Linked DNA regions of Drosophila melanogaster. The protein of the gene in region 4 interacts with the protein of the main gene of each other region in a pairwise test. Each region holds a gene or a part of one and is shown on either strand. Other genes may lie near its edges. The genes, in order: CG46385, Lamtor4, Flad1 and CG14641.

Evidence for each region.
Region 1: the proteins of CG14641 (region 4) and CG46385 interact in a two-hybrid assay, tested with the Drosophila melanogaster proteins (one large-scale study listed by BioGRID).
Region 2: the proteins of CG14641 (region 4) and Lamtor4 interact in a two-hybrid assay, tested with the Drosophila melanogaster proteins (one large-scale study listed by BioGRID).
Region 3: the proteins of CG14641 (region 4) and Flad1 interact in a two-hybrid assay, tested with the Drosophila melanogaster proteins (one large-scale study listed by BioGRID).

What each region holds. Positions count from the first base shown.
Region 1 is NT_033778.4:7,777,961-7,786,276, forward strand, and holds the start of CG46385 (uncharacterized protein), read right to left. Parts: upstream 4,678-8,316; 5' UTR 3,767-4,677; intron 1,926-3,766; 5' UTR 1,505-1,925; coding exon 515-1,504; intron 1-514. Other genes in the region: CanB2 (calcineurin B2), read left to right, coding at 8,306-8,308.
Region 2 is NT_037436.4:3,891,972-3,898,517, reverse strand, and holds Lamtor4 (late endosomal/lysosomal adaptor, MAPK and MTOR activator 4), read right to left. Parts: upstream 1,619-6,546; 5' UTR 1,582-1,618; coding exon 1,427-1,581; intron 1,371-1,426; coding exon 1,163-1,370; downstream 1-1,162. Other genes in the region: Ccz1 (Caffeine, calcium, zinc sensitivity 1), read left to right, coding at 1-514, 578-1,059; Gr63a (gustatory receptor 63a), read left to right, coding at 1,915-2,124, 2,185-2,334, 2,410-3,519; Fie (fire exit), read right to left, coding at 4,260-4,349, 4,404-4,540, 4,604-4,985, 5,529-5,672. UniProt on the Drosophila melanogaster protein: Regulator of the TOR pathway, a signaling cascade that promotes cell growth in response to growth factors, energy levels, and amino acids. As part of the Ragulator complex, may activate the TOR signaling cascade in response to amino acids.
Region 3 is NC_004354.4:12,898,527-12,906,594, reverse strand, and holds Flad1 (flavin adenine dinucleotide synthetase 1), read left to right. Parts: upstream 1-3,078; 5' UTR 3,079-3,254; coding exon 3,255-3,266; intron 3,267-3,432; exon of another isoform or gene 3,433-3,517; intron 3,518-3,628; coding exon 3,629-4,279; intron 4,280-4,743; coding exon 4,744-5,049; 3' UTR 5,050-5,242; downstream 5,243-8,068. Other genes in the region: CG4404 (uncharacterized protein), read left to right, coding at 814-982, 1,561-2,318; Coq8 (coenzyme Q8), read left to right, coding at 5,640-7,072, 7,140-7,692; CG32650 (uncharacterized protein), read left to right, coding at 8,008-8,068.
Region 4 is NT_033777.3:4,228,422-4,235,928, forward strand, and holds CG14641 (uncharacterized protein), read right to left. Parts: upstream 3,922-7,507; 5' UTR 3,822-3,921; coding exon 2,565-3,821; 3' UTR 2,358-2,564; downstream 1-2,357. Other genes in the region: DhpD (dihydropterin deaminase), read right to left, coding at 59-213, 307-567, 624-722; abs (abstrakt), read left to right, coding at 4,708-6,567.

The DNA.
Region 1 (8,316 bases), on a different chromosome or scaffold from region 4:
CTAATGGTGACCGTCTAGCCGAACTATAAATGCAATGCGCATTACCTTATCAAAATCATACCATTTGCACTTGAAAATCACAACTAAGTTCGAAGATATTCTATAAATAACTACATTTTATCATATTTCAATGTGCATTTTTCTGTGGTATTTCCTGTTCTAAACCCATAATTGAGTACTTTCGTTTTCAGAATATATTGTGATATAAATCAATAAATTTTCCAAGAAATGCGGTGATTTCTTTCCACGTTTTTCCCCGAGTCAAAGGTTCTGTCGTTTTTTTTTTTTTTGGGCTTAAGCTAAGATCTACTATTCAAGTTCACCACCTAGCCTGCAGGTTTTCAAACTCTATATTCTAAAGATAGCAGATAGCAGATACACTAAAGTCAAACTGCCAACTGTGCCAATAAATAAGTTCGTCAACGCAAATAAACAGCACACACCCCGCCCATCGAATAATAAATAACTTAAACTTACTTCTAGACAATATCTGTGCTAACCGTTCTGGACTCACCTGCATTATGGGATACGCGAGACGTCCTTTGCCGAGCCGCTCTATGATCGTCAGCTTGGTGGTGCTGGCCATGACTCCGGCGATGTTGGAGGAGGACAGGACCGGACGCGGCGGTGGGACGATGGGCACAAAGTCACGATTCCTTTCGGCGAAGCTGCGATCGAACGAGTTGCGTCGGTCGCTGTGGGAGCGTCTATAGGCCACGTGGTTGCCATTACCACCGCCAGCGGTATTGGGCGCCCGACCCGCTTGATGGCCATTTTGTGAGCTGTTGTACTGGGATACGCCCATGTAGGACTTGGACTTGCGATACTGCTTGGCGGAGTAGACAACCGGCTCCGGGTAATGGAGATCGCTGTGATTGCTGGCGGTCTCCGATCCGGAACTGGTTGACGACGACGAAAAGGAGGAGGCAGAAGCGGAAGAGCTGGATGCGGATGCGGGGACTGTGGATGCGGTTACGGCGGTGGTCAGGCCGGAGATCATCGATGGCTTGGAGCATTTGGCACAGGGCACGGCCAAGGCGGCTGTCAGCAGTTCAGCGGGATTAATTTTTCCCACTCCACTGTCCAATGTTGCCAATGTGTCCGAGATGTTGCTGCTGTTGCTGCTCATGTTGCTGCTGCTCTTGCTGCTCATGTTGCTGCTGTTGCTGTTTATGTCGATGCTGTTCCTGAAGCTGTTGCTTCTGTAGTTGCTGCTGTCGCGTGGCAGCGACTGTAGGAATATCTGTTGGCGTTGCGGCTTCGCTTTCTTGCCGCTGCGCTGCGACTGCTGCTGATTTCCTTTGCCTGCATTCTTTTTGTTGTTGCCGCTGTTGTTATTGCTGTTAGGCTTTGTGGATTGGCCCTTGTTTGTTTTGTTGTTGTTGTAGTTGTTGTTGTTGCTAAGTTTGCTGCTGTTTTCAATGTTGCTGCTATTCTTGCCCGCCGCCGGCAACATTGCCTCTTGCTGCCTCTCCTTGTCCTTGTCCGCCTTCTTGTTTACCATTTTTGGATTGCCCCTGTTAACTGTTATCCGTGCTGCGCTTCTACAGTTCCGTTAGTTCTCTGCGTTCTACGTTCCGTGCGCAATTGGCTTTTGGATCGTGCTTGCGCTTGTGTTTTGTTGTTGTCGCTCTTGTCTCCGCTTATCTGGCCCTCTCACTCGCGCTCGCGCATTCGCTCTCGTTTTCGTTGAGCTTTTTTTGTGTTTTTAGTTTGTGGTGCCACGTTTTGTTGTTGGCGCGCTGCGATATTATATTTTGTATATTTCGCTTACGTTCTTTTTATTTTTATATTAAATGAGCTTTTGTTGTACACCTTTTGAAATGTTTTTAATCACGAAATTCACGAATGTTGTTTCTCACTTGCTAACACTTTTTTTTAACTGCGTCTTTTCGGCGAAATTGCTGTTCTTCGTTTTGCTACCCCTTTTGGTTTGGATGACATTTACCGCAAGATAAGCAAGTGAGAGAGGGAGAGAGCGGCAGCGATCACCATGTAAAGAGAGAAAAGAGAAAGGGGAAGAAACAAAATTAGTTATTGGTTATTTGCTTTCTCGAACAATTGTTTTCGCCATTCCGTTCGAGACTTTGCTTATTTGTACTAAATGCATTTGATTTATTTTAATGAAGCCAAAATCACTTATGAAAGCGTATTCCTCACATGTGCCCATCCACCCCTTTTTTTTGTGAGTCTTTATCACACATTTTGTTTTTGATTAACTGCTGTGGGTTCCTAAAGGAGCTAAAAGTATAAAAGTCTCCACCATTTTCAAACGCGCAATTCGTATTACTTATTTCTTGCGTTCATTCGAAAAAGCAAAAACAAAAAGCCGAAAAATAGCGCATAATATATAAAAACATGTACATACATACGTACATATGTATGTACATATGCCGTTGTGCCATGTTTGTTGGTATGTAAATGCTTGCCATTTGGTTCTCCCTCTTTTGATCCCTCCATCTCATTCTATCCCCCAGACCGATGATGTAAGTTTTCGTATCGGAATGCTTTATTTTTTCCCCTTGCTCTTCCTTTCGACACCGAGTCGCCGAGTAAATGTGTGATGATTGCTAAACTGACCACAAGATCAATAACTTTGACTCCCCATAAACTGCTAAGATTGCTCATTAAACTCTTTAAAAGTGCGCGAAATCCGTCTAAATATTTTATACTCTTTAAATCGCCTTAAGTTCAAAATTCGCTAGCATCTACTGAAGTTTATCAGTAGCAATAGGATATGGATATATGTAAGTATGTAAATTGTATGTACAAATGGGTCAGAACCAATCCAATGAATTTATGAGAATAGTTACGATACCCTCTGTAAGGGTATAGAAATAAAACAGTTCTCGGGCTACTCTTATTGTTATTTACCAGACTTTATGACTCAATCGCAATGAGAGAAATTCAAACTGATCTCTTTCAAATCAGTTAAGTGCTTTTCCAGAATTATCGAACACTAACCGTTCTTGAACCCAAAAGTGATGGATGAACGTAAGAACGACGATAATTATTCTTGTCTAACGAGCTAACATATTAGTTTTTGTGTCAAATAAATACTAATAACAACATTTGGGGTTCCCACGTGCGTTAAATTGCATTGTTATTGAACTTTTGCCCACAGCAAGTGTTCTACGAAGTTTATTTATTCAAGAGAGTACAAACGTTTTATATTTAAATGTAAGAAAAAGATTGATTAAATTGTTTATTTTAAGAACAACAAAAATGCACCAAATATACAAATTGATGTTTCATCTTTAAATGCAAAATTTTGGTTTCGAATTCTAGTTTTAAGTTATTTTTTTTGCATTAAGTATGTATGTACATATGTACTCAAAATATGTACTGCAATGAAAATATAGGAAACCAAACCACTTTGAGAGGATTTCGGGTTGAATAATATCTGAAGGTGTTTTCATCTACATATTGTACATACATACATATCTACACCGACAAAAAATAGCGAAACCGGAAATGCCAGATGCCAAGACTAACCGAGACCCAAAAGTGATGAGCAGGGGGGTGGAAGGGGAAGATGGAGGGAAAGGTGTATGCTGTGGTGTGTGCCTAGATTGTTATCCGCATTTCTGGTTTGCTTTTCATTATAGGCAGAACAGAATACAACACCATGCGGCACGATGCGATCTGCGAATACCCCGGACCCTGAGAATCGGCGCTGCAGTCACGTAGACCCACTAATTGAGCGAGATCAATAACGGTGATTGTGTGTGCACCTATATGCATATATATGTACGAATGTATTTACCTGAACAATTCGGACAGCTCGTGCCTAGTCGCGCATTATCCAAAATTACGCAGAACGGCTTCGGGTTCCGCCGCCGGGTGCTCCTTCTTCGTAGGGTTAAAACCGAACAGAATCCTAGCTAAAGTGGGGCACGGATTGCTGAATTTCCAAAGTATCGCTATCGGCGGTGGTCTATCGGTATCGGTATGCTAACGACGACGGGCAGCAGGGTGTGGGGGGAGTTTACCGTTCCGGCGAACCGCTGGCAGAGCGCCTTAAACTAAAGTCGAAGGGCGGGCCAGGATGGCGATCGGTGAATCCGGTATTCGGTTTTGATTTTGGATTACTACGGCAAGGTAACAAGCCAAAACTTTCGGTTTTCTCTGCGCACAGATTCTGACAGCTTACACCCCAATTGCTCGGTTACCGTTACTTTTCGTCTTACGATACCGTTGCACTGCACACACTGAGGGACACTTACGCACAAACACAAACACACGCGTTCGCTCACTCAACTTCCAACTTTGTGATTTGCGATTTTCGATTTGGAATTTGATTTTTGATTTGGAATTATTTCAATTTCACTTTTTCGCTCGCCTGTTGCCGTATTTGCTTCGTTGCTTTCGGACCACGCGTTTCGATCGTTTCGTTTTGCGGAAGCTTGCCCAAAAGCTTCGAGAATGTGGTTTTTCGATTTAACAGCAAAAAGGGCTGAACAAAGTTGCACTTGCACCTGCCTAAAAAGAGCGATATTCCGGTTGGATTATGGGAATTTTTAGTTTGTGCAAGTTTAACTGAACTCCTGGTGAGTTGCTAAAGTCAATATTCTGTCTAACGGCTGCTCTGCGTTCGATCGGATCTCGGTGGGCACTGTACAGCTCCCTGTGTTTGGTCTACTTGAGTGTCGAACATGTGACGAGCAACTGATGGCGCTGGCCTGCTCCATTGGTCCGCCGGCCAGGCGAAGACGCGCGACGGCGGCAGCGGTACAGTGGGTACAGTAAGGCCTGCCTAAAAGTACTTTCACTTAGAAAGGGCACTCATTGAAATCACTGGCCATTTGTTTTAAATAAAAAGTGGCTAAAACACATACATATGTATATTTTTATTTCACAGCTATTGGGTTCAGAAAAATAAGAGTTATTATTCGATTCCATTAATAGGTTAATTTTCAACGTTCTTAAAGTCTAATCTCTATTAACGTTCGATACATTTTACGCTAGTTGAATACAAAACCATAAACAAGACATTCGGCACCGTTCATTGTATAATTAACATTAGTAAATAATGGTTTGTCACTATCTGGAAGTTTCTAGAGTTTAAATACGTTTTCATACCTTAAGTTTTATGTACACGCCATTTTGTAAGAGGATTATGTACGTGATTAACTGCATATCATATAAATCTTATTCTCGTCGACGTTCCACTGTAGTGAGTGTGGGCAAAGCGGAGGCGCCGACAATTCTAGAGAGTGCCATCGAAAAGTTCGCGAAACGGAATTAGCAACAACAATTAAGTCGGAAATGAGCAGCTCGCTGTCTCTCTCGCTCTCTGACCATACTAAGCTCCCCCTCTTTAAATACTCGAAACCATCCATGTCTTTCTACCTTCGGCGAAGAAAAGCTTTTAGAGCTTTTGAGTAGTAGGTCCAGCCGGAATGTCCAACGTTTGGTCAGGTCTCGCATCTGCAAGGTAGAGAAAAAAGAATGAAATATAATTTGAAACTATATAAATTCTAGTTCCAAAAACCCACCTCCACATAATTGTACATGGCCAGGTCGCAAATGGCGAAGGCGTCCTGCCAGCGGGATTCGGTGAACAGGGCCAACGTCTCGTCCAGTGGCAGCTGCTTGGCCAAAATGTCGGTGAGCAGCGTGACATCCTCCATTCCAGCATTCATACCCTGGCCGTAGTACGGAACCATCGCATGGGCGGCATCGCCCAGGATCAGTGCCTTATCCGCATAATGATACGGCCGGCACTTGATGGACACCAGAAACTGTGGCCTGGTCTTGAAGAAGTCCTTTATGAGCTGTTGCTCTCCAATCAGTGGCAGTGCGTCCCGGAAGTTCAGCTTAAAGAATTCCAGGAGATCGTTTTGATTCTGAATGCCAGCGAAGATCTCAAAGGGCATGGACAGCGTGACCGTGAAAGACTTATCCTGATTCGGCAGGGCAATCATCATGAAGGTGTTACGCGGCCATATGTGCAGATAGTTGGCAGGCATCTGGAAGTCTCCCGATTTCGAGGGTATGCAGAGCTCCAGATACCCCGTTTCTATGTACTCCTGGGAGTAGTTGAAGCCCGGCAAACGGACCAAGTGCTGGCGCACACTACTGAAGGCACCATCGCAGCCGACTATAAGATCAGCATGGGCAGCTACGGCTTCCTTGGCGGGATTGCGGAACTCCATGGATCCCTCTCGCAGATTGGCACTTGTCAGCTTGTGCTCGAAGTGGCAGCGTATATTGGGCAGCTTATCGCAGGCATTCAAAAGGACTTCGTTCAGCTGTCGACGTCCCACGGAGTACAGGCATTGATTGTTAATGGGATCGTATAGGACCACACTGGAGTTTCCTCGCACATCGTGGAGCATTCTGCCTCGCATGGGTATGGCGGTGGCCAGCACCTCTTGCTCCAGACCCACGGCGGCCAGCGCCTTACGGCCACGCTGCGAAAGAGCCAGGTTAATACTCCTGCCCTGAACCACTAGGGCCTCGCGGATATCCTCCCGGTACTCGTACAAATCCACGTGGTTGCCCATGCGGGCAAAGTTCAAGGCTGCCAGAGAACCCACCTAGTGTTATGGAGAATAAGATGCGTAGAAAGCGTGATAAGAGCCTTATATCTGGAAGCAGGGATTTAAAAACACTAAAGATAACGCATCTAACTACATATGTGAAGACACATCAAAATGCAGCATAATTTAAAGATTACTTAGGAATGATTCGAAAAGAATTCGAATTCTATAATTCTACTACTATGATGTGTATTTTAGCAAATTAGCAAAGCTTAGTTTTAGATATTATGAAGCTTAACTAGAATTATTGCCTGTTTATAACCGTACTACGGTCTACTCTAAATATAGACTATATATTATTTTGTTAATGATTAACACTAAATTTCATTCGCTATATTTATAGACCCACAATCTATTTATGCTTTCGCAGAGTAATAATTGTATACTTCAAATAACTTTGTTACACTCACAAGTCCTGCTCCAATAACCGCCACCCGGCGCCGTCGTCCATGTCTCTCGTCCCTCGCAGCTTCTGTTGGCTCCTGGCGGCCGTTTACCTCCTGGCTAACGATTCCTGGGCTCATGACCGTTCTGCTGGCTCGTTGGCAGCGAAATGAAGATGGAATCGAGATGGAAGCCAGGCAACTGGCTGGGGAAATGTTTAACCAAGAGATTATGTCAGATGGGCAGTAAATGGTATCTATGGTTGTTTGATGTTGCTGCGGGAAGCCAACGAAATGCAGCGGCGTAGCCACAAACATTTGTCTTGGGGTAACTTTCCTAAGTTGGGCTGCAGAAAATGAAGATTTTACACCTGATACTTGATTCGTTGAGAAGCATGTGTAACCATTTGAAGCGATTGTCCGTATAAACATCCCGATCAACAAATAAAAAACTATATAAGCTAGAGGGTATGTACATAGATTCTACGCTATGTAAGATTGGCACGCCCACTCTATAATTCACAAACCTTTCAAAACTGTTACGCGCACACTTTCGAAAAGTGTTTTGATATTATTTTGTATCAGTAGTATTTCAAACGAATGTTTCAAATATTGACCTGCGTTTCCTCGTGTTTACTTGTTAAATAAGCTAAGTTAACTAAGCTTAAGTAATGGGAAAATATATCATTACAAATTCAAAATTCAGAATATGTTTTTATTTTTCTTTATTACATACTCGTACAAATGCATCTATCTTCGATGGACAAGAAGAAAACATAAGATTAAGCCAACAATGAATTCACGATAAGAAAACATTAGATTAAGCCAGCCCAGATTACATGATATAATTAAACATTTTAAACAGATAAGAACTGTAAATTGTGAGCACTTACACTTAAGATTGCTAATGAAGGAAAATTACCAAGTATATGAATGGAAATTTTGGATCATACTAAAGAAGTGTCATGCAGTTCAATTACTAAAAGTATAAATAAATAAATACATGTTCTGTTTTAAAAAACCGCGCTAATTTAAATTAATGTGACAAACGCTGACAACCCTGTCAACGCGTTGCCAACGCTAAGCTTTCTGGTATTCTTCCTTGGCCACCAAGGTATTTTTTGTCGCTCGAACCGCGGTCACACCAAAAGCTGCTGTGGAAAAACTCATGCACAATAGAAAATAGAAAACCGAATATTTCCACAACAAAACCGTAATTCAGCGGCCCAAAAACCACAGTAGCATGTGCAGGATAGCCCGCGGCGTAGGACTTTAAAGGAAACTAGAGGAAAACCAAGAGCGGAACGGCGAAAAGAGCGAACTTTATTTGTACTCTATAGATAGCATCCAAGGAGAACCACAAAAGGCAAAACCAAAATGGTAATAAA
Region 2 (6,546 bases), on a different chromosome or scaffold from region 4:
CTGCTCTGCCAGAAGCTACTCCAGTTCTATGATCAGCATCTGACCAACCTGAGGGATCCCGCGCAATGTGATATCATCGATATGCTGCATTCCATTCAGTATCTGCCATTGGATAAAACGCTCTTCTTGCGGGCCCAAAACTTTGGCACCCTGTGCGAGACCTTCCCCGACATCAAGGAGAGCATAATGCTCTACCAGGAGCAGGTCCTTTGTGGCGGAAAACTTAGCCCGGAGGATCTGCACTGCGTGCACTCGTATGTCGTGCAACACGTGCTGAAAGTCGAGGCCAGCAGTTCCACCATTGCAGTTTCTCCTTCACTAAAGCGAAGCATAAGTGAATGCCAGGTGGGCGGATTCGTAAGAAGTCGTCAGAAGGTCGCAGGAGATGAACATGACGCTGTGAATGAGGAAGATCATCCAATGAAGGTCTATGTGACACTGGACAAGGAGGCCAAACCCTACTACTTGCTCATCTACCGCGCTTTGCACATAACTCTGTGTCTGTTTCTGAATGGTATGTTAAGGATTAGAACTAAATAGCCAAAATAATCAACTTGAAACATTCCACATTTGTCAGCTGACCAGGTTGCGCCGAAACAAGATCTCTACGACGATCTCCATGCCTACATGGCTCCCCAACTGACTTCGTTGGCCCGGGACATATCCAGCGAGTTGACAAAGGAGGCGGTGGGTGCTGCAGGCCAGGACAACTCCAGCGGGAACAGCGAAACGGCGCCGAAGTACTTGTTCATTAACGAACAAAGCCTGCAGCACCACACGAACTTTCAGAGGCACCTGCCCCAAGGGCTGCCCCGCAATGTGCTTAGTATCATTGCGGACTTGGCCAATGGCAGTGGCAAGGCGGAAATGGAGAGTGCTCCTGCCGAGGAAGTTCAGGTCAAGACCACCAATGACTATTGGATTGTGAAGCGGCGCTGTAACTACAGGCAGTACTATGTGATCCTGTGCAATAGCAAGGCCACCTTGCTGGACGTCACCCAGGAAGCGAGGCGCATTTTCGAGCAAGAGCTCACAGATGATGTATTTTTTGACAAATAAAGAGGAGGATTAGGTAAATAATGGGAGTGCGCCAATTGTGGGGTCTTTGTCCGGTTGCTTGCCAACAGAATCTGCAAGTGGGTCGGACATCCGACGACGGATTTCAAGCCAGCACTGCCCCGGAATCGCTGGCATCGTTATACACGCTGTTCGACGAGGAGGAGCTCGTGGTCGTGGTGACGCCATTCTGCGATTTGCTGATCTTAATGATGTATATTCTACGGTTGGACATGCAGATGCTGTAGTAGTGATGCTCGTAATCGATGGTGATCCTCTCGCAGCTGCTGCTCGGCATGAAGGACTCGTCGATGCTACAATATAGGCGTAATTATTACAAAATTCCTTCATCCTTTGTTTAAAAACGCACGTCTCTGTGAGATTTAGTAATCCCATTATCACATTTGCACTGCGCTCATCGTTCTTCAGATCTCCGCCGGACTCCAGAACTGCTCCATCTTCCTTTAGTATCAGATAGCCAATTTGATTGGGCACAATCAACTTTTCCCTGTCCATTTTCAACATATTTATTTATTTATCTTTCGCACCCACACCCACCAGTGTGACCGGACTAGATCCATTTAGATACCAAATCGGTAGCCTGGCAGCCCGGTTTCAGTGTTGTAAATTGCCACATGCGCGCCATTGACACAAATTCGAAATTGGGACACCGGGCTAAGGTTAATTCATTCAAAAGACAAACAACGCACATCAACAGGAAACTAAAACTCCGGCTCTAAGTCAACAGAGGGCGTGGTCGATAAGGGGGCGTGTGCAGGTGCATGGCTAATGCGTCCGTCTGGCGAAAAAGTGGTAAAAGGCCACGGACAAGGAAATTCCGGACACAGTCTCTCCGGAATGGCCAACTACTATCGACGCAAGAAGGGTGACGCGGTGTTCCTCAATGCAAAACCGCTGAACAGTGCTAATGCCCAGGCATACTTGTACGGGGTCCGCAAGTACTCCATTGGATTGGCGGAGCGATTGGATGCGGATTACGAAGCTCCTCCGTTGGATAGGAAAAAGAGCTCGGACAGCACGGCGTCCAATAATCCGGAATTTAAGCCGGTTTGTGGATTGCTACGCTGTTAAAACCATTTTTGTAAAACTGAATTTCGCTGCTTTCAGAGTGTTTTCTACCGAAACATAGATCCCATCAATTGGTTCTTGAGGATTATTGGAGTATTACCCATCGTGCGACATGGTCCTGCTCGTGCCAAGTTCGAAATGAACTCCGCCTCCTTTATTTACTCGGTGGTTTTCTTTGTGCTCCTGGCGGTGAGTGTGGTGTTTGCATAACATTTTTCAAAATTGACTATGGATACCATTATGTAACCCAAAACCGCTTTACAGTGCTATGTAGGCTATGTGGCCAACAACCGCATCCACATTGTGCGCTCCCTGAGTGGACCCTTCGAGGAGGCGGTTATTGCATACCTCTTTCTGGTCAACATCCTGCCCATTATGATTATACCAATATTGTGGTACGAGGCCAGGAAGATAGCAAAGCTCTTCAATGATTGGGATGACTTTGAGGTGTTGTACTACCAGATATCCGGGCACAGTTTGCCTCTGAAATTGCGACAGAAGGCGGTGTACATAGCCATCGTGCTGCCAATTCTCTCGGTTTTATCGGTGGTCATCACGCACGTCACCATGTCGGATTTGAACATTAACCAGGTGGTGCCCTACTGCATCCTGGACAACTTGACTGCAATGCTGGGTGCCTGGTGGTTCCTCATCTGCGAGGCCATGAGCATTACGGCTCATCTTCTGGCGGAGCGGTTCCAGAAGGCACTGAAACACATTGGACCCGCTGCCATGGTGGCAGACTACCGTGTTCTGTGGCTACGACTGAGCAAGTTGACCCGTGATACTGGAAATGCCCTGTGCTACACCTTTGTTTTCATGAGCCTCTACTTGTTCTTCATCATTACCCTTTCGATTTATGGACTAATGTCGCAACTCTCCGAGGGATTTGGCATCAAGGACATAGGACTGACTATCACGGCTTTGTGGAACATAGGACTGCTCTTCTATATTTGCGATGAGGCACATTATGCCTCGGTTAATGTGCGAACCAATTTCCAGAAGAAACTACTCATGGTGGAGCTTAACTGGATGAACTCGGATGCCCAGACGGAGATAAATATGTTTTTGCGAGCCACCGAAATGAATCCATCGACCATCAACTGCGGTGGCTTTTTTGATGTGAACAGGACTCTCTTTAAAGGACTCTTAACCACAATGGTCACTTATCTGGTGGTTTTGCTGCAGTTTCAGATCAGTATCCCCACAGATAAGGGGGATTCTGAAGGCGCTAACAATATAACCGTAGTGGACTTTGTAATGGACAGCCTGGATAACGATATGAGTCTAATGGGAGCCAGCACTCTGAGCACCACCACTGTAGGAACCACTTTGCCACCGCCAATTATGAAGCTAAAGGGCCGGAAAGGCTAGTGGAACAAATAATCCTAAGACAAGAAAGATATTATTAGATAATGTGCATCTGTAGCTGAGGCCAAATAATAAAAGCACCCAAAACTGAATATTCCAAACATTTTTCTAACTTGATGTACATTAAATTAGTAAGTGTGGAAATAATAAAAAACACGTTCATTAGATATGTTACAATTTTGCACTTTTATTTGATATTCGTTCTGTGCCACAAAATAGAAATACCTAAAATATTGCTAGTCAACAGAATTTAAGGCATATTATAGTTAAGTAGTGGTAAATCTACTGAGAAACTAAGCTTTAAAAAATTCGTTGCTACAATACATATTTGTATGAACGCCAATTTATTTAAGACAAGTTTTTCGTTTCAAGATTTTGGGGCTTAATCAATCTCGGCTATCCCGAGAGTTTCGCTGCCGTAGCCTAGGGGTTAGAGAGTGCGACCTTCGCTTCGAAGTTCCGAGTTCGAGTCGCGTTAGTGACCAAATATTATTATTATTTTTTTTATTTTTTAAGGTGCTTTGGGAGCTATTTCTACACAAAAATAGTTTATAGTTTAATCGCCGAACGCTTTGAACCGATTCTGCATTTCTAATAAGCCGCTCCATGTCCGTTGGCTATATAAAATAGTATCTCTACCAAAACCATATCACACTCTGTTTTGCAATACAGAATTTGCAGTGCAATTGCAATCAAGACACCTGATGGGAAGTTCCAAAAATATCCAATCTTTCAGTACATGTTTAACACTGTCCATCGGGAGACTCGGTTAGAATGTGCTTATATCCATTGCTGCCCAGATACATGTGCTCGCGTTGGAAACGATAGGGTATCTAATGTATAAGAAAGTTACTATTAAAGTTTTCAAAATATTGATACCAACTTACGGCTCCTGGAGCTGGACATGGTATGGCCACAGTGGCAATCTCTCGAAGCTTATTCATGGTGCGTAGACTCTGGTAGAAGCTATGCATCACATACCACTTGCAGTAATCCATGCAGATCAAGATGTAGCAAATGATAACTGAAATATAAGATAATTCGTTATTATTTACTTCAAAATTTAAGCCTAAAAATCCAAACTTACAGTAGGGCACTTGACCACCCAGCAATTGCACGATTTTTGTATCCCTCAGCATGAAGACCAGTGCCCCCAAACCAATCATTAATAGGAACTCCACAACCAGCCAGGGTATGATTAGGCCCGGCCGATTTTTGAAGACTCCGAAAAACAGGAATATGGCACTCAGGGCGTAGGTACCCGCGATACCAGCCATCACGTAGAGCAGATTCTCCGTGGCGACGGCCAATTGGGCAGCGGTTTGCAGGCGAAGATCGTTGTGAAAGGGCGACATGTTGTAGAAACCATTGTCCTTCTGGTCCAAGATGTCCAGCTCCAGCACCTCGCACATCTGTTCGGCATGCGCCAGTCCCAGGAGAACCAGGAAAAGGGCGCAGTGGGAGATTAACTGGGGAATATAGAAAAGCGACTGTTTAGGATCTCACTTAACAAAAAGTGTTTGCGAAAACCGGAACAACCCAGCGATCTGCTGAAGCTACCACCCTTATTTTTCACCAAACTGAACGAAGCCAGAAAGCTGCTTCTACAATTCCCAACTGGTTCTAGGAGCTTTCGCAACAACTCCCAATATATTTCAGGAGAAGAGCTTTAAAAAGGGTGCTCGTCCTGGCACGTTTCCGATCACGAAACTCAAGTGCGGACGCATTGCGCCGCAGGAGCGTCTCCTTCGCTCCGCCCCTGGACTTCTCCGGGGATAGGCGGGGGCGAGCGTTCCATTGCCGCCTTCGACGCCTCCTTGCGCGCCCAGTGGGGTATGGCTTTGCATATCCAGTGCGTAATTTTTGTATTTGGGGCCGCGGCTGCACATTGTGGATTGCTCGGGGATTCCCGGATCTCCCTGCGTGCCAGTGCGCTGCGCCCCGCCTGAGATATCCATTCTCCAGTCTCTTATATAATCCGCTACTATATATACATGTATGTTTGAACTTACCAACTGGTAGATGCTCGTCAAGAGCGCCGTGGTCCTGAGGTTCTTGGGCGATACGGGCGCCATCAGCATTTCCCAGCTGCGGCGACAGCAGTTTTTCCATTTGCATCCTGCGGCGGATTGGCCGCTGACCGTTGGCAGCAGCATTTCACTTTAGTTTTCCGAGTTTTACTTAATCAATTTATGGATTTTTCCCGCTTATTCAGCTAATCAAGGAGCGACGCAACTGTTCCGCGGCTGTTTCGTCATGCAATTGAACTTGGAGACCTCGCGAAAAGGTGGAGGGGCAACACCCACGCGACCCAAACTTTTCCGGAGCTTTTTCCTGTGGTTTGGGGCGTAAACTGCACTAGCGAATTAATCAAAAAAACTATATGGATAAAACAACGTTGAGTGCCAAGGTCCGCAAAATGTTTTGACTCGGCGAAAAGCTTTTACGACTGTGTTTTGTTTCATACTCTGCCGTTGAGTTTTTTGGCTATCTAAAGCGTGTGGTTTATACAATATATGTACATGTAAGGATAATTCAAAAATCAAAGTATTCTTAGACTAACCAAATATTTTTTTTAAATTTATGGCTTAATAGCTTTATATTCAGTAATGACTTTCAATTGGTGACCCCGACCAAACGTTGATTAAAATAGCCAAGCTAGCTTGTGAATCTCCTTTTTTAAAGTTGTATATCGTTTTCTTAGTAAAATATTACAATCATTAATTATGATTTAGAGTATCTAAACGTTCTCCAATAAATAAAGCCTTGGCGAACAATTTTGGGGGTTGTTTTCCTCTTGAAACCGCGCAGATGTTTATCGTCCCATTCACAGAGCTTTCTTTTGACTTTTCGAAGCTTCCGCCAGAGTTGCCACCGTCTTGCGGGGCGCAGGCAATTAAAGTTGGCGCGGGACTTCCCCCTGCATACTGCAGCCCGTTGCTATGATAAATTTTTGCATTTTAAAAGTCAATTTACACTGGAACTATAAAAATGTAACATAAATTTCGCCAAAGCAGGCCATAAAACTCC
Region 3 (8,068 bases), on a different chromosome or scaffold from region 4:
TGCACACACACAAGCGTTGCAAGTGCGGCATTTGAATTGCTTAGCTTATACAATTTTATTGCAGCTGTTGTTCGCCGTTGAGTTTTTCGATATGCGGTAATCGCGGAGTCATCGGGGTATATCGAAATAGTCGCAAAGTTGTCGATATAATTTTAGTAACCGTTGAAATGTGCAAAAAATACAATTAAAGAGAAATAAACACTTCGATTACGATCACCTTGAGTTTATAGGATTAGTAAATAGTATGAAAAATTGTGTGATCTTTTGATTATCTTTGGGAAATTTCATTATTCGGCGAATAAATATCAATATAAATATATTATTTCTGGTTAGTGTATATAGATGCTGCTCTGTACACCTTTACATTCGATTTATTCAGATGTGCTCCATTGCAATATCCTGCTAATTATGTTTCAGTGTAGATCTTGCTGCCTTTCAGCGGTGTAGGGTATTCGCTGTTCGTGAGACTCAGCGATTGCCACTTGTTGTTGCTGCTGTTTTGTGCCAGCATAAAGTGTTTGCGCTGCAGCTTTTGTTGCTATTTGCTATTTGCAGTTTGCAATTTGCAATTTGCGCGCAGTTTTGGTTGCGCGTTTGCTGCGAGCAGTTGCACTTGCACTTGCAATTCTATTGCCGCGCCCCCTCCCCTTTTTTTCTGTGTCGCCCCCTTTGTTTTGTTTTGCCTCTTTTCGTTCGCGCCCCCCGCCATCTGCACCGTCTGCAGAGCAGCGCTCCTGGAATAACTGCATGTGCGATTCACCGTTCTAGTTGGCGGCGTGCGTGCGTGTGCGAGCGAGCGAGACAGACAGAGGCATGTGCTGGGTCGCAATGGCGCGCAAGGACGATCCCGTTTTCAATGTGCGGTTCGTGCAGTTCGTGGAGAATCAGCCGTGCCTGTGGAACTACACGCATCCGGGCTACAGCAAGAAGGAGGATGTGCAGAGGGCGTGGCAGCAGGTTGCCAACGATATCAAGGACACGGGTAAAAAGGCGGTAAAAAATAAATCGGCAAAAGGCAACGGCGATTTTCCGCCTCAAGCTGCTGCTTCTTCCTCTTCTTCTTCTTCGCCGCCAATTGCGTGCTCATTTCACTGTCCGTGTGCGCGCGCGCCTGTGTGTGTGTGTGTGTGTCTGTGCGTGTGTGTGTCTATGATGCAAGCTTTCGCGAATTGGTGTGCGAAACGAATGCACTTGTTGTTGTTTTCCATTTGCCTGGCTTTGCATTGGTGTAGGTGTGTCACTGTGTCGCGCAGTTTTTGCCTGCAATTTGTTGCTGCTTTTGCGTTTCGCTTTTCGTTTACTGTTGCTGCACTCAGCCAAGGTGCACTGGAAAAAAACCAAGTACTATTCGTACAACTAAATTCCCATAATAAATTCAAAATAAATACAAAATAAAAGTATTTAAACTACAAAATATTCCATGTTACAAACAAGTATAAATCCAAGAATTGAGTTTGATGTGCAAATCAACTCAGTACTGTGGTTACCTTTTGGTGAACAAGTTTCAATTTGTACCGTAGAAATTTGTACTGTAAAAGATGTGTTTTGTTTCTCCTGCAGTTCGCAACTGTCGCGAGCGATGGCGCACCATAAGGAGCAGCTTCCTGCGATCCCTGAAGCTGGCACGCACACAAACGGGACGCGGCAAGCGCAAATACTACCTATCGAAGTATCTTCAGTTTCTCGTTCCGTTCACCAAGTCGCGATCCTGCCACAAGCAGCTGCCGGGCATGGTGCTCCGCAAACCCGGCCAAGCTGCCACTGCTCAGCAGGAAGATGAGGTGGTGGCGGCGGAGGAGGAGGCCAAGGTGAGCGATGGTGAGATGCCGCTGGACGTTCAGGTGTCCGAGGAGGAGCATCGTCGTAATCAGGAACAGGATCGGGAGCAACCCACCGCCTGTTTGCCGCTCCGCCTGCATTCCATCAAAGTGGAGCACGATTCGTCAAATGCGAACCAGCAGCTGGAGCGGATGGTGAGCCAGCAGTCGCTGGTCTCGGTGCCCGCCGCCGCGCTGGGCAATCACCTGGGCTGGTCGGATCTGACGCAGTGGTTCAAGGGACATGGCAGCGGTCATCACAAGTTAACCACAACAACAACAACACCAACATCACCACCACCGCCGCCGCAGCCGGCTACGTCAGCTCTAAGTGTTTTCACTGGCGGACCAGGAGGAGGTGGCTCACAACCGGATGCCGACTACTCCTTTCTGATCAGCCTGCATCCGTACATCAAGGAGATGAACGGCAAGCAGAATCGAAAGTTTCGACAGAAGGTCGTCGGACTCATCGACGATATTCTGGATAACAAGGATGTCTAATTTGTACACGGAAAAAAAACCGAAGATGCTTACGTTTCAGCGATGAAAATTACGATTTGTAAACGGCTCTATCAAAATTACCACACACAAGAGATGCATATTTTGAATGATTGTGCGGAAATATTCTACATACCAAATGCAACATTATTTCAAAACCAACATTTTCACCACTTTCAGATTTCATTCTGGCCATCATATTGCTAACTTTTAGACAATGAACTTAGTTTTTAAATATTTATGTCTAAGTTAAGTGTGAACGTACATGAAATTTATATCGAAGTTTATATGCACTGCATCGAAATTTGTAAAGCGCCCAGTGGAACAGGATGAAATCACCAGTTATGTGATATTTTCTCTCCGTGAAGAAAAAAAGCCACAAGAATCGAAGAAAACACACCCAGTTGATAGAAAACGCCAACAGTGCCCATTTATTAGATGTGTAGAGCGTACTTTAATTACGCTTTTTATTGTTGTTGTTAAGCACACACACAAACACGAATTTGTTATTGTCGAATAAAACATTTAAACTACGAACATTTTATTTTACTTCAGACGGAACAGAAACAAAATTTGCGTATATATGTCGCATTTGCTGGCGATATGCGAAATTGCGGATTAAAATCAAAACGAAACTTTCAAAATTATTTAATGTATAAATTTCTAGCTTTTTTTTTGAATTTCTAGCTAGCCAACCGCCTTAATCGAGTGCAATCGATAGATTCAGCGCACAGCTGATGCACCGATAGTACGCAAAGCTTCCTGGCTTTGTTGTTGTTGTTGTCGCCGTTCGCTTGTTGTTGCACTAAAAAGACGAAAAAAGGAAGGAAAATCACTGGCGCGGAATAACAATTAACAAAATGGAATAATTGCATTGCTGTCGCCGTAACTCATCAGTTAAATGTGCGCCAGTAAACAGTCGATGCAGCAACGAAACACATGAGCTATTGGGTGAGCTATGCGCGTGTGTGCGTGCGCCATGTGTTTGGCCTGCATGCGTGTGTGTGCGTGTGCGTGTGAGGGCCTGAGGTTTTGGCTTTATATCACTTTTTTTTTGTTTTTGCTGACTTTTCCGATACGAAAGTGATGTAATTTTTGGCTGGCCACAAATAAGCCAACTCACTCGCACGTCAACCGCCGAAGCATTTACCACGCTCATCGCACAGTTAAAGTTTGTTTATGGGCCTAGAAAATTACATAAAGTAAATACTTACACACACACACACACACGCAAAAAAAAGATATTTTTCGGCGAAAGTTTTTTTTATGTTTTATTTATTGAGTGCTAATAGTTGCTCTTTTGACTTTAACAGCGTGTGACGTCATCGTTTTTGCTAGCCAGGGCACGGCCACGCCTCCCACAAACATTACGCCCACTGAGCACCATGAACGAATGCCGGAAGAACATCACAAACATCACAAACATTACAGCGAACAACAGCATTCTATGCGCAAAGAGCATTAGCAAAAAGCATTTGTTTCTAGAGAAACGGAGCATGTCGGATCGTTCGGAGAACTCCAAGGATGTGGCAAAGGGACAGGATATATCAAATCCAATGGAACTAACAGCCGAGGATCGACTGGCCATTGAGGAGCGGCAAAATAAAGCGTTCGCCTTCTTCGCCGAAACCCTGCAAATCTACGGCGTCGAGGAGCTAATTTTCTGTTTCAACGGCGGCAAGGATTGCACCGTGCTGCTCGATCTCCTTATGCGTTACCTGCGCCAGGAGAACATCTCCAGCGGCGACATTCCCATGCTGTACATTAAATCCGGCGATTCGTTTCCGGAAATCGATGAGTTCGTCGAGCGTTGCGTACGCAACTACCGCGTCCAGTTGGTTCAGTACGAGGGTACGCTCAAGGAGGCACTCACCCACATGTCGTCGGACATGCCGCGGATCAAGGCCGTCTTCGTGGGCAGCCGCAACACGGATCCCTACTGCCAGCATCTGGCGCCCATGCAGGTGAAGCTGGTTAGGAATATAGCAATCAGGAGATAAATCATATTTAAATGTTTTGCACTGAAATGCTCAGGAGTTCGTAGGTTCAAGTGTGAAGAAAAGTTTCTTTCTCAAGAGTAGTAGATTGATTATAAAGCCAAGTTATCAAAGTCACAGCCTTAGTATCAAAATTATGCCATTGTTAATCTAGAAAAGTATGTGCCCTTTGCCAATATCACAGTGACAGTGGCATTTTCGAATGTCATGATTCCATTCCGCAGATAAGCGAGTTCTGTGGTTCACCACCTAACATAGAATTTATTCGAGTATTTTACAAAACCAAATGTATCCCGCTTATTTGAAAATCTCACAAGATCACAAAGATAATAATGAAGCTAGCTTGAAATAGTTTTGGAAAGTTCGAAACTGCTGTTTCCTATTAGGAAACCCCAAGTGCCTAGTGATGCTAATTTCGATTTTTTTTTTAGCCCACGGACAACGACTGGCCGCCGATGATGCGCCTGAATCCGCTGCTGGAGTGGAGCTACCACGACGTCTGGCACTACATCCACTTGAACTCGGTGCCCTATTGCAGCCTGTACGATCGGGGCTACACCTCGATCGGGAATCGTGCGAACACAGTGCCTAATCCGCACCTCCGACGCACCGATGCCGAGTGTGAATGTGGTTCTAATTCCGATGCCGTCTGCTCCTGCGATCTGGGTGGCTATCGGCCCGCCTGGGAGCTCCAGGATGCCACCATGGAGCGTGCTGGTCGCCTGCCCAGGAAGTAGGATTCCATTTGCGTGGCTATAGTGTAATTGAATAGCTTAAACTCCAGTTAGTCACGAAACTTTATATAGCTGTGTATATATATTAACGTGTGATCTGGATTTCGGTAAACAAACTTAATTTAGTAAAATTTTGTACGACCTAAGGTATGCCGCTGAATAAATGTGGCCTCTGTTAGCAGGCCACTTAAGCAGTATTCCTAGTTTTTATGGAGTATTTAAATTTTTAGTTGTTTAGTTGTTGAATGTTTCTTTCTAATTTTGCATAAAAGCTGAAGCAAGCTAAAAGAGCCAAAGAAACAGCACTGGCTTCAGTGCAAAATCTAGTGCTGCAGCAAGCTGGCTTTTAAAAGCTAGAAAAAGCTCAAGATGCCATGGTGCCACTGTTAAAACGCCAGCATGGCAGCACTAGATGGCCAGTCAGCTGTTTTGCCAGCTGATTTTCGCCGCATTTTCACAACATTACGCGATTCTTTGAACTTTTTTTGCTGTGATATTTTTACGAGATTTACGTAATCCTACGCGCCGATCATCACCAGCGAATCACCCACGCGAGAGCAGTGCACAATAAACCAGTATTTCCTCGCTCCGCGATGTCGCGATCCGCACAAGAAGCTGCGGCGCTGCTGCGGGGACTGCGGATCTTGTTGGAGGCGTGTGGGCGCGAGCATCTCGCCCACGGTCGTCATCTGTGGAGCAATTCAAGCATTCGTGAGCTAATCGCCGAGAATGTGGCGCACACACAGCAGCTGGTGAGAAGTTCCAGTCAAAATCCCACCGAGGAGCTGAAAAAACTGCAGCAAACTGTAAAAGAAACGGGCGAAAGGGGCTACGTGGTGGCCAAAGGTATTTGCTCGCTGCTGGAGACGAAAATCAAGATGTCCCGCGAGGAATCGGCCATCTCTGAGCCTGCACAAGTCTCCTCAATTCGTAAATCCACACCCACGGCACAAAATCCAGCAAGTTGGGACGCCGCCAACTTGGATATATCATCCATAACGCTGCAGGAGTTCGAGGAGATACTCTCGCGCCGGAACAAAGATCGTAGTGTTAGCTTGCGCACCCCGGCAACCAAAAGCAACCAGACCATGCCCAAAAAAGAAACGTCAACCAATCCGGGCATCATTACCCAGGACACGGAGTATGTAAACAATGTGCTGCGGTTTGTGGCGGGCGCCAAGGTGGAGGAGCAGCCACCAGATGCGCAGCCGAAGAAGAAGTCCGACCAGCCGGCCATTGAAGTGCCCGAACTGAGCAAGGTGGCCAAACAGCGCAAGGTTCCCTCCTCCCGGATAGGCAGAATGGCCTCCTTTGGCGGCCTGTTCGCCGGCCTGGGCCTGGGAACCCTCAACGAGCTGACCAAGGGTGCACTCGGCCTGGGCGGTTCGACCAGCATGCGAGAGGCGTTGCTCAGTCCCGCCAATGCTGAACGCATCGTGGACACGCTATGCAAGGTGAGAGGAGCTGCCCTGAAGATCGGACAAATCCTGAGCATACAAGATTCCAGCGTTGTGTCGCCGCAACTGGCCAAGGCGTTTGAGCGGGTGCGTCAGGCGGCGGACTATATGCCCGATTGGCAGGTCGAACGCGTGATGAACACCCAATTGGGTGCCGATTGGCGACAGCGTCTCAAGAGTTTCGAGGACAAACCCTTTGCGGCTGCCTCCATTGGCCAGGTGCATCGGGCAACGCTGAGCGATGGCATGGATGTGGCCATTAAGATCCAATATCCCGGTGTCGCCCAGAGCATCGAGAGCGACATTGACAATTTGGTGGGCATGCTGAAGGTGTGGGATGTCTTTCCACAGGGTTTCTTCATCGACAATGTGGTGCGCGTGGCCAAACGTGAGTTGCAATGGGAGGTGGACTATGATCGCGAGGCGGAATACACGGAGAAGTTTCGCGAAATGATCGCGCCCTATCCCGAGTACTATGTACCGCGTGTGGTGCGCGATCTGACCACGTCCAGCGTTCTGACCACCGAACTGGTGCCCGGTGTGCCGCTCGATAAGTGTTTCGATCTGAGGTAAGCTAATGATGCAAACGCACATGCATATAGTAATCAATGGGCTTCATTGAAAATTCACTTCCAGCTACGAGCATCGCCGCCACATAGCCGCATCCGTGCTGAAGCTCTGCCTGCGCGAGCTCTTCGAGATTGAGTGCATGCAGACGGATCCGAATTGGTCCAACTTTCTGTACGATGCGCCCAGTCGCCGGCTAATGCTGATCGACTTCGGTTCGACGCGCTTCTATAGGCATGAATTCATCCGCAACTATCGCCGGGTGATCATGAGCGCCGCCGAGAACAATCGTCAGGGCGTTTTGGAGATGTCGCGCGAAATGGGCTTCCTAACCGGCTACGAGACGAAGCAAATGGAGCAGGCGCACGTGGATGCGGTGATGATATTGGGCGAGATCTTTCGCTACGACGGTGATTTCGATTTCGGTCGACAGAATACCACCGAAAGATTGGCCGCCCTGGTGCCCACAATGGTGGCGCATCGATTGTGCCCGCCGCCCGAGGAGATATACTCCATTCATCGCAAGCTATCGGGCATTTTCCTGCTGTGCGCGCGTCTGAATGTGCGCATGAATTGCGTGCCCTTCTACAAGGACATCGTTCTGGGGAAGTTCAAGGACTAGTGAGCACAGCTCACCCCTCTTCCCTTGACCATTTTCTTTTTTTTTTTTTTTGTCCAATCCAATCCCAGTTGTAAACCATAAGTGCGCTTAATTTGTAAATGCGATTCGCTGCAAGATTACATATGTTAATTTCCCAACTAACGTGTTTATCCTTAACTGACTGGGTCAGGGTTAGTTGTCAATTGAATTGGAAACAAGTAGGTTTTGAGCAATCCCCAACAGCTAACACACACACACACACATTTTAGTTAAAAACCCCAACAATAAAACACTACACAAAAAAAATATATATACATTGTATCTAATGCAAAAAACATGAAGACATTTGTGAAGACCCAAAGCATGAAGAGGAAGAACGAGTTGTTTCACCATGATT
Region 4 (7,507 bases):
CTGTGCAGAGCAACAACATTGAGTTGACCAGACCAAATCCGTCACGCTCTGTACTTACACGTAAAACTCGGGGCTGTTGCAGTTGGAGCAGACCTTGCCTATCAGTGCCCGCTGGCCTTGACGCACCGCCTCCCGCGCCAAGGTCAGCGTTGACTCCAGATGGTTGGTGGCGAAATAGGACGCCAGAGTGGTTCCGCACCGCAGTGTTGCTTCCTGGGGTGTAATATTATCATTATCAGCTAATAAAAATAGACGGCCGGTGCGACCCATCGATAAGACGTTTGTGTGCTCCCAAGTACTACTTACGACCACACCCTGGTAGACCTGCTGGGCGTATTGGTGGTTGGAAAACTTCGCCTCCAGCGGGAAAGTGTATGTGTTCAACCAGTCCAGAAGAGGCATGTCTAGTCCCAGTCCCAGTTGCGCAAACTGCGGGGCGTGTATGTGGCAGTCGACGAAGCCCGGCATGAGGAACTGGTAGTCCGACAGGTGAACCTCGGTCAGACCCTTGGCGTGGGCCGGATTGCTGCTTGCCCACGCATGGTAGTCTTGTCCCACTCCTATTATCTGTGAGCGAAATTGTTCATTGCTCATTGTTTTGTTCTGGGCATTAAATTGCCTACCTTGCCAGCGTCGTCCACTGCCAGGAATCCTCCTTCAAAGGACTCAAACTCGCTGAACGACTTGGTGTGCACGACAGTTCCAAGAAACACGGTTGCCATTGCTCTGATTTACTATCAGCGGGCTTAAACGTGCTGTACGACAGACTTGAGAATGTAATGATCAAGATCCGCTGAACAAGTTTTAAAACTCTCGCCTAGGTGCACGCGTCGCCCTGCGAATGTGCGCATAATCATACGGGGATGACACTTACTTTTTATTTCAAGGTTTAAATCGCTGGAAAGATTATTCCCAATCGTTTGGTCGTTACTTTAAATATTATTACTTATTACTGTTTTAATAAGCGATCGCTTGCACACGTGTGATTTATCGGTAAAAACTACAAAACAAGCAATAATTAACTTCAAAATAGCTGTTGCAAAACCATTAATTGTAAAATTGTATATTGGAATGAATATTGAAAAAACATAGAATACATTAATCATATGTTTAGCTAAGACAAAACCCCCTTTCTGGAAGTAAAGAAGAGTAAGAGTGACGGGTAAAAGAAATATAGCCATTATATAATTTACAGTTAGTCTAAGATTTCATTAGAATAAACATATTTGCACTGCTCGCACCTGTACATATGTAACCTTTACCTACCCTGTAGTCCCACAATTCATCGCTATTAAAAAATATTACATCATCTCTCTCTTAAAATTTTAAAGCGATGCTAATGTTCTTAATCATAACGAGGAATAAGCGATGATTTTGAAAACAAATTCATCGCTTTTTAATTTCTAACCGAAGGTCTCAGTATGCGATTTTTTATTTAATTGCAAATTTAAATTTAAATTTTAAATTTGTAATGTACATAGAACATGTTTGCAGATCACTTGCCTATAGACTTTTGTGAGAAGTAGACGCGATTTTGAGTGCTTGTTTTAAAAAAAAATTGTAAATATTTTGGAATTTAATTCAATAATAATTACAGGTAATGGATTTATTTTACAATAAGCAACAAACACTACTCACAGAAACGATAATTTAAGGTAAATTGGTTTAACTCGTTTTTGTATACATAATTATACATTATTTTACCTTAAGGTAAATCGGACATGTGAACTGAAAAGAAGCTGGTCCTAACTCCGTAGGACAGGACGCCAAAGACTCTGGAATTTCACATACATATATATGTATTTGTATTCTTAAATTTAAATCCTATGCATAATTTAAATAAGTCTAATTAAGAAAATACATTTTTATTAATAAATGACTGAAATTTCACTTTTTCATTAAAATTGATAGAGGATTAAGTGAATAAAAAGAGGTGTAGAGAGATGAATTGAGCTATCATTTATAGCGCTTATGCGTGATTTTGATTTTGCGCTATGCGATGATTTCCTAGAACATAGGTTCAGGTCATGGTTTTTTTTTTTAATACAAATTAACCTGTGATTAATTTGATCGAGATTTTTAATGATCAGTAATGAGCTGATGAAATCTGAATGAATGGAATGCAGGGAGGTAGTCATAATCCCAATGTTAAGTTCCCCTATAAATACTGAAGAATGAACTTACATATGTACATGTGCATTGGTGTACTTTTTTTAATCCCAAATATCGTCCAAATCAAAGAAAAGCATTTATTAAAGGTAAAAACGAGTGACGAACGCACATCAACATACATATGTACAAAAGTTTTGATATAAGCTTTTGTGACGAAAATTTGTTCTTTTTTTCTTTTTTTTTTTAGAGTTTAAATCATTTATTATTATCTTCTCCTCTCTAATTGTTTGGTGTTTTTTCTTAACAATTCGAATCGAAAACAATTTCGTCCATACGGATAAATTCTATTAATATTAAGTCATTTTTATGGAACTGACCACTTTAAAAAGTTTGTATTTAATTTTATAAAAATGATTTATTGAATTGGAACCATTGTAGACCACAGGGTTTTCCTACTTTTTAACAGCTCCCATCCGACTGGCGTCCTGACTTGGATACGGTACTTGACCCGGTGGCGGAGGAATCGATATGGAATCCAAATTGACACCCGAGGAAGAAAGGGCTGTGGAAGTGGCGTTTCCGTAGGGAGCTGCATAAGTAGGCTGACCATACATTTGGTAAGCCGACGCCGGAACTAGATTTGATGGCAACTGATGCAGCTTCATGCCGGCGGGCATGACATTGATTTGCTCTTGGCGAAGATTGAAGTAGTCGTTGGGCTTCGCGCTAGGCGGTGGAATGCCGGCCAAGTCGAAGCGTCTGTCTGTCTTTGCAGCGGTGCCCTGCTTTGCCTGAGAGTGAGCCCACTTAATGCTCACCTTCCGGCCCTGGATCACCAGTTTATTAAAGGTCCGCTCAGCAGCCAGCTCGGCAGCGTTTCTTTTGGTGTATTGCACAAAAGCGCACTGCTGGCGTGGCACCAGCGCAATTGATCGAATTTCGCCGAACTGGTAGAACTGATCTCGCAGCTCGGGTTCCGTGATTTCTTCAGGAAGGTTCCCCACATAGAGAGTTGTGATGTTGCGGTCCTCCGGCGGCTCGAGTGTGGGAAGCGAGGCTGCACGCTTCATGATCTTCTCGGCCACAGGATCGTTGCGTCCGTAGTACCTGTCCTTGATGTTTTGCTCACATAGCGGATCGTCCGGCTCGTTGGGCTTGTCGTGGCGGTATGGGCACTCCTCTCCACGCTTGCACTCGCCCTTAACCCAAAAGGAGCAGATGTGCGGCCGATTTCTTTTGTAATAGGGTGCTGTGCGCGCAAGCTTGGACAACATCTCGTTGGCGGCGAGGGATCGACCGACAGCTCCTGCCGCCTCCGTGCCATCTCCGTCCTGCAGCTGGGCGTCTATGTTTTGGATGTAGTATTCCTTGTTAACGTCGCTTTGTGGCATATTGTCAGCCACTTTGAGCGCCGCATCTCGTACTTGAATCGGCAGTCCGTACTCCAGGTCCAAGAGGCAGGTCTGACACACGTTCTTCAGGCGCGCACACGTTTGACATATCTCCGTCTTTTTGAAGCGCATACGAGCACCAGGACACCATCGAAATATTGTGAATGGACGCGTGCATATCTTGCATTCCTTGCCGAACCGCTCTTTAATCATCCGCACGTACGGATTGTCGCCAAGGCAAGTTTGGCACAGAATTGGGAATTCAGCATCTTCCCAGTTCTGCCGGTTATAGGTGTTAGTCGTTTTTGACATAGACATAGCAGCGGCACTTATGTACCTTGCACTTAAAATCCGAGCTAAATTTAGACAATGCTCATTCGCTTTCTACTTGTCGAAAATGGTGGTGTGTCGCGAGTGATATACCAATATCGATAAGTTGAGCCAGAAGCAGACAGTTAGTTCAAAGTCAGCAATCGATATAATTTATTGAATTTAATAGCATATTCACACTGCTTAGAATATATATCTATACCCAAATGCACACAAAAATATATTGCATTCGACTGATCCGAAACCGATCAATACGATATTCTACTATTCTGTACTATTCATGTTCGCTAACCGTTTAACAGAAATGTTCCTGAAACACTTTTGATAGCACGCATAAGTTCATATAAAATGTTTCTGGGCGATTTACACAGAGTTTTTGGCACTTTTAATTCCGATGTTCGCAGTTACGTATTCACTGCGCTCTGACCACTTATGTTATTCAATTAATTATCATTATTTACGAACAGCACTTTTGGCCCTGCTTTAAATATATTTACTAAGTATTTTTACCTGCCTGTTATATTTCACCAACAGTATGGCAACCTTCGCGCTAAAAGTTGCATTTTTCACGTTGCTTGGTTTTCACAAAAAAAGAAAGACTCAATCTCAAACTCAGAAAACCAGAGCACCTAAAAACGAAATCGAAAGATTTTGCCCAAATTGAAAAAAAAACTATTATCCGGTCTGCATGCCATGAATATATCATAAGCAAGAAGCTGTCAGTGGAATCACTGTTTAATAACTGTAATCGATACCCATTAGAATATAGTATTTTTCGGGCTCGCCTAATTTAAAACGTCGTACGGTGGCCTTTGTTGTAGTCAAATTAGGCGAAAACGAAACAAACAAAAATCAGAAATATAGATCGAATGCTATGGCGCACGTAAAGCGGTATCGGAGGTCGTCTAAGTCCTCGGAGGAAGGCGACCTGGACAACGAGGACTACGTGCCATACGTACCGGTGAAGGAGCGGAAGAAGCAGCACATGATAAAGCTGGGCAGGATCGTGCAACTGGTTTCGGAAACGGCCCAGCCCAAGTCGTCAAGCGAGAATGAGAATGAAGACGACTCGCAGGGTGCGCACGATGTCGAGACCTGGGGACGCAAGTACAACATTAGTCTGCTGGACCAGCACACAGAACTGAAGAAAATTGCCGAGGCCAAAAAGTTGAGTGCCGTCGAAAAGCAGCTGCGAGAGGAGGAAAAGATTATGGAGAGCATTGCTCAGCAGAAGGCCCTTATGGGTGTGGCAGAGTTGGCGAAGGGGATTCAGTACGAGCAGCCTATTAAAACAGCTTGGAAACCGCCGCGTTACATTCGGGAAATGTCGGAGGAAGAGCGCGAGGCCGTTCGCCACGAGTTGAGGATCCTAGTGGAGGGAGAAACCCCCAGCCCGCCAATTCGCAGCTTCCGGGAAATGAAGTTCCCTAAAGGTATACTTAACGGCTTAGCGGCCAAAGGCATTAAGAACCCGACCCCAATCCAAGTGCAAGGCCTGCCCACTGTACTAGCCGGCCGCGACCTAATTGGAATAGCCTTCACTGGGTCTGGAAAAACGCTTGTCTTCGTGCTGCCAGTCATCATGTTTGCCCTGGAACAGGAGTATAGTCTGCCTTTTGAGCGTAACGAGGGCCCCTACGGCCTGATCATTTGCCCGTCCCGCGAACTGGCCAAGCAAACACACGAGATAATTCAACACTACAGCAAGCACCTCCAGGCATGCGGAATGCCTGAGATTCGTTCCTGCCTGGCCATGGGTGGTTTGCCGGTCAGCGAGGCCCTTGACGTCATCTCACGCGGCGTACATATTGTGGTGGCGACCCCTGGTCGTCTAATGGATATGCTGGACAAGAAGATCCTTACGCTGGACATGTGCCGGTACTTGTGCATGGACGAGGCTGACCGCATGATTGACATGGGATTTGAAGAGGACGTTCGTACGATATTCTCTTTCTTCAAAGGCCAGCGACAGACACTTTTATTCTCTGCCACCATGCCAAAAAAGATCCAGAACTTTGCTCGATCAGCTCTCGTGAAGCCTGTCACAATAAATGTGGGTCGCGCAGGTGCTGCGTCAATGAACGTCACCCAACAGGTTGAGTACGTTAAGCAAGAGGCAAAGGTGGTATATTTGCTGGACTGCCTACAGAAGACCGCGCCGCCCGTGCTCATTTTTGCTGAGAAGAAGCAGGATGTAGACTGCATACATGAGTATCTGCTGTTGAAAGGCGTGGAGGCGGTGGCTATTCACGGCGGAAAGGATCAGGAAGAACGATCGCGGGCAGTCGATGCTTACCGCGTGGGCAAAAAAGATGTGCTGGTGGCCACCGACGTGGCATCGAAGGGCCTGGACTTCCCTAACGTGCAACACGTTATTAACTACGACATGCCGGACGATATTGAAAACTATGTGCATCGTATTGGCCGCACAGGTCGTTCCAACACTAAGGGATTGGCTACGACGCTGATAAACAAGACTACCGAGCAGTCGGTTCTGCTCGACCTGAAGCACCTGCTAATCGAGGGCAAGCAAGAGGTCCCGGACTTCTTGGACGAACTGGCACCTGAGACCGAACACCAGCACCTGGACCTGGGTGACTCGCATGGCTGCACCTACTGTGGTGGTCTGGGCCATCGCATCACGGAGTGCCCAAAACTTGAGGCTGTTCAGAACAAGCAAGCTTCAAACATAGGACGTCGCGACTACCTATCTAACACCGCTGCGGATTACTAAACCACTACCACCACCAAATTAAAATAGTAATAAATAGATTAGTATACATACATACTTTTCTGGGAACTTTTAAATTTATTTTCACTCTGTTTTAAGTTCAGTTTGCTGCTTATCGCACGAAGCTTTGCTTATCAATCGTCCCAGCAACCCCAGAGAGCGATCTCGGCCGGACGCGCGCGCGTTTCGGGCTTAAGAAAAATATTATAAAAGCGAAGACGAGCTTTGGCTTTCGTTTAGTGTCTGAGGCAGAGCTCTGCATGCTTGTCGTTCGAAGCGCTTTTATTCAATCATCGCACTGGGATCGTGAGAAATTGCGCAGATCGTATTGACTTACAAGTAAGTGTGCCCCAAAAATTAAATGATGTTTTATCAGCAATATGTAATAACATCGCCCAGAATAGTAGGTTACTCTAGTATAAAGTAAAATTCAGACTAGCCTAAATGATTTCAATTGAAGGCTGATTATATAGACATTAACAACTTTCAAAGCTATTATTTTGCTGAGTTCATTTCGTTAAATTGGTCGTTGATTTGTCTTATCTACTGCTTTGAAAACAATCATCGGAACTGAGGTCGGTTTTATATTAGATAAGCCACTAGCTTTTTACCAAGCTGTGTGTTCTTGAAAAAATAAATTCATAACACTGTATAATATGATCAAATTAAATTGATGGTACCTACAAAATTTGGTTAATTTATCTCCGTTAAATTATCCCCAACTTCATTGGCATTTGGATTGGATTTGAATAATTGGATACACATTTGAATGTTTAAATGTTACCCATGCGCGCGGTTTGTCCAAGAATCCGTTTGTATGATTTTGGCACTGGAAAATGGGTAACTGCCTTTATCCAACCAATTCAAGCTGGTCCAACTTATGGCCGGCTTCGGAATATTATTCCGAACATGCTGTGGCCCATCACTTTCATTTCAAATAGGT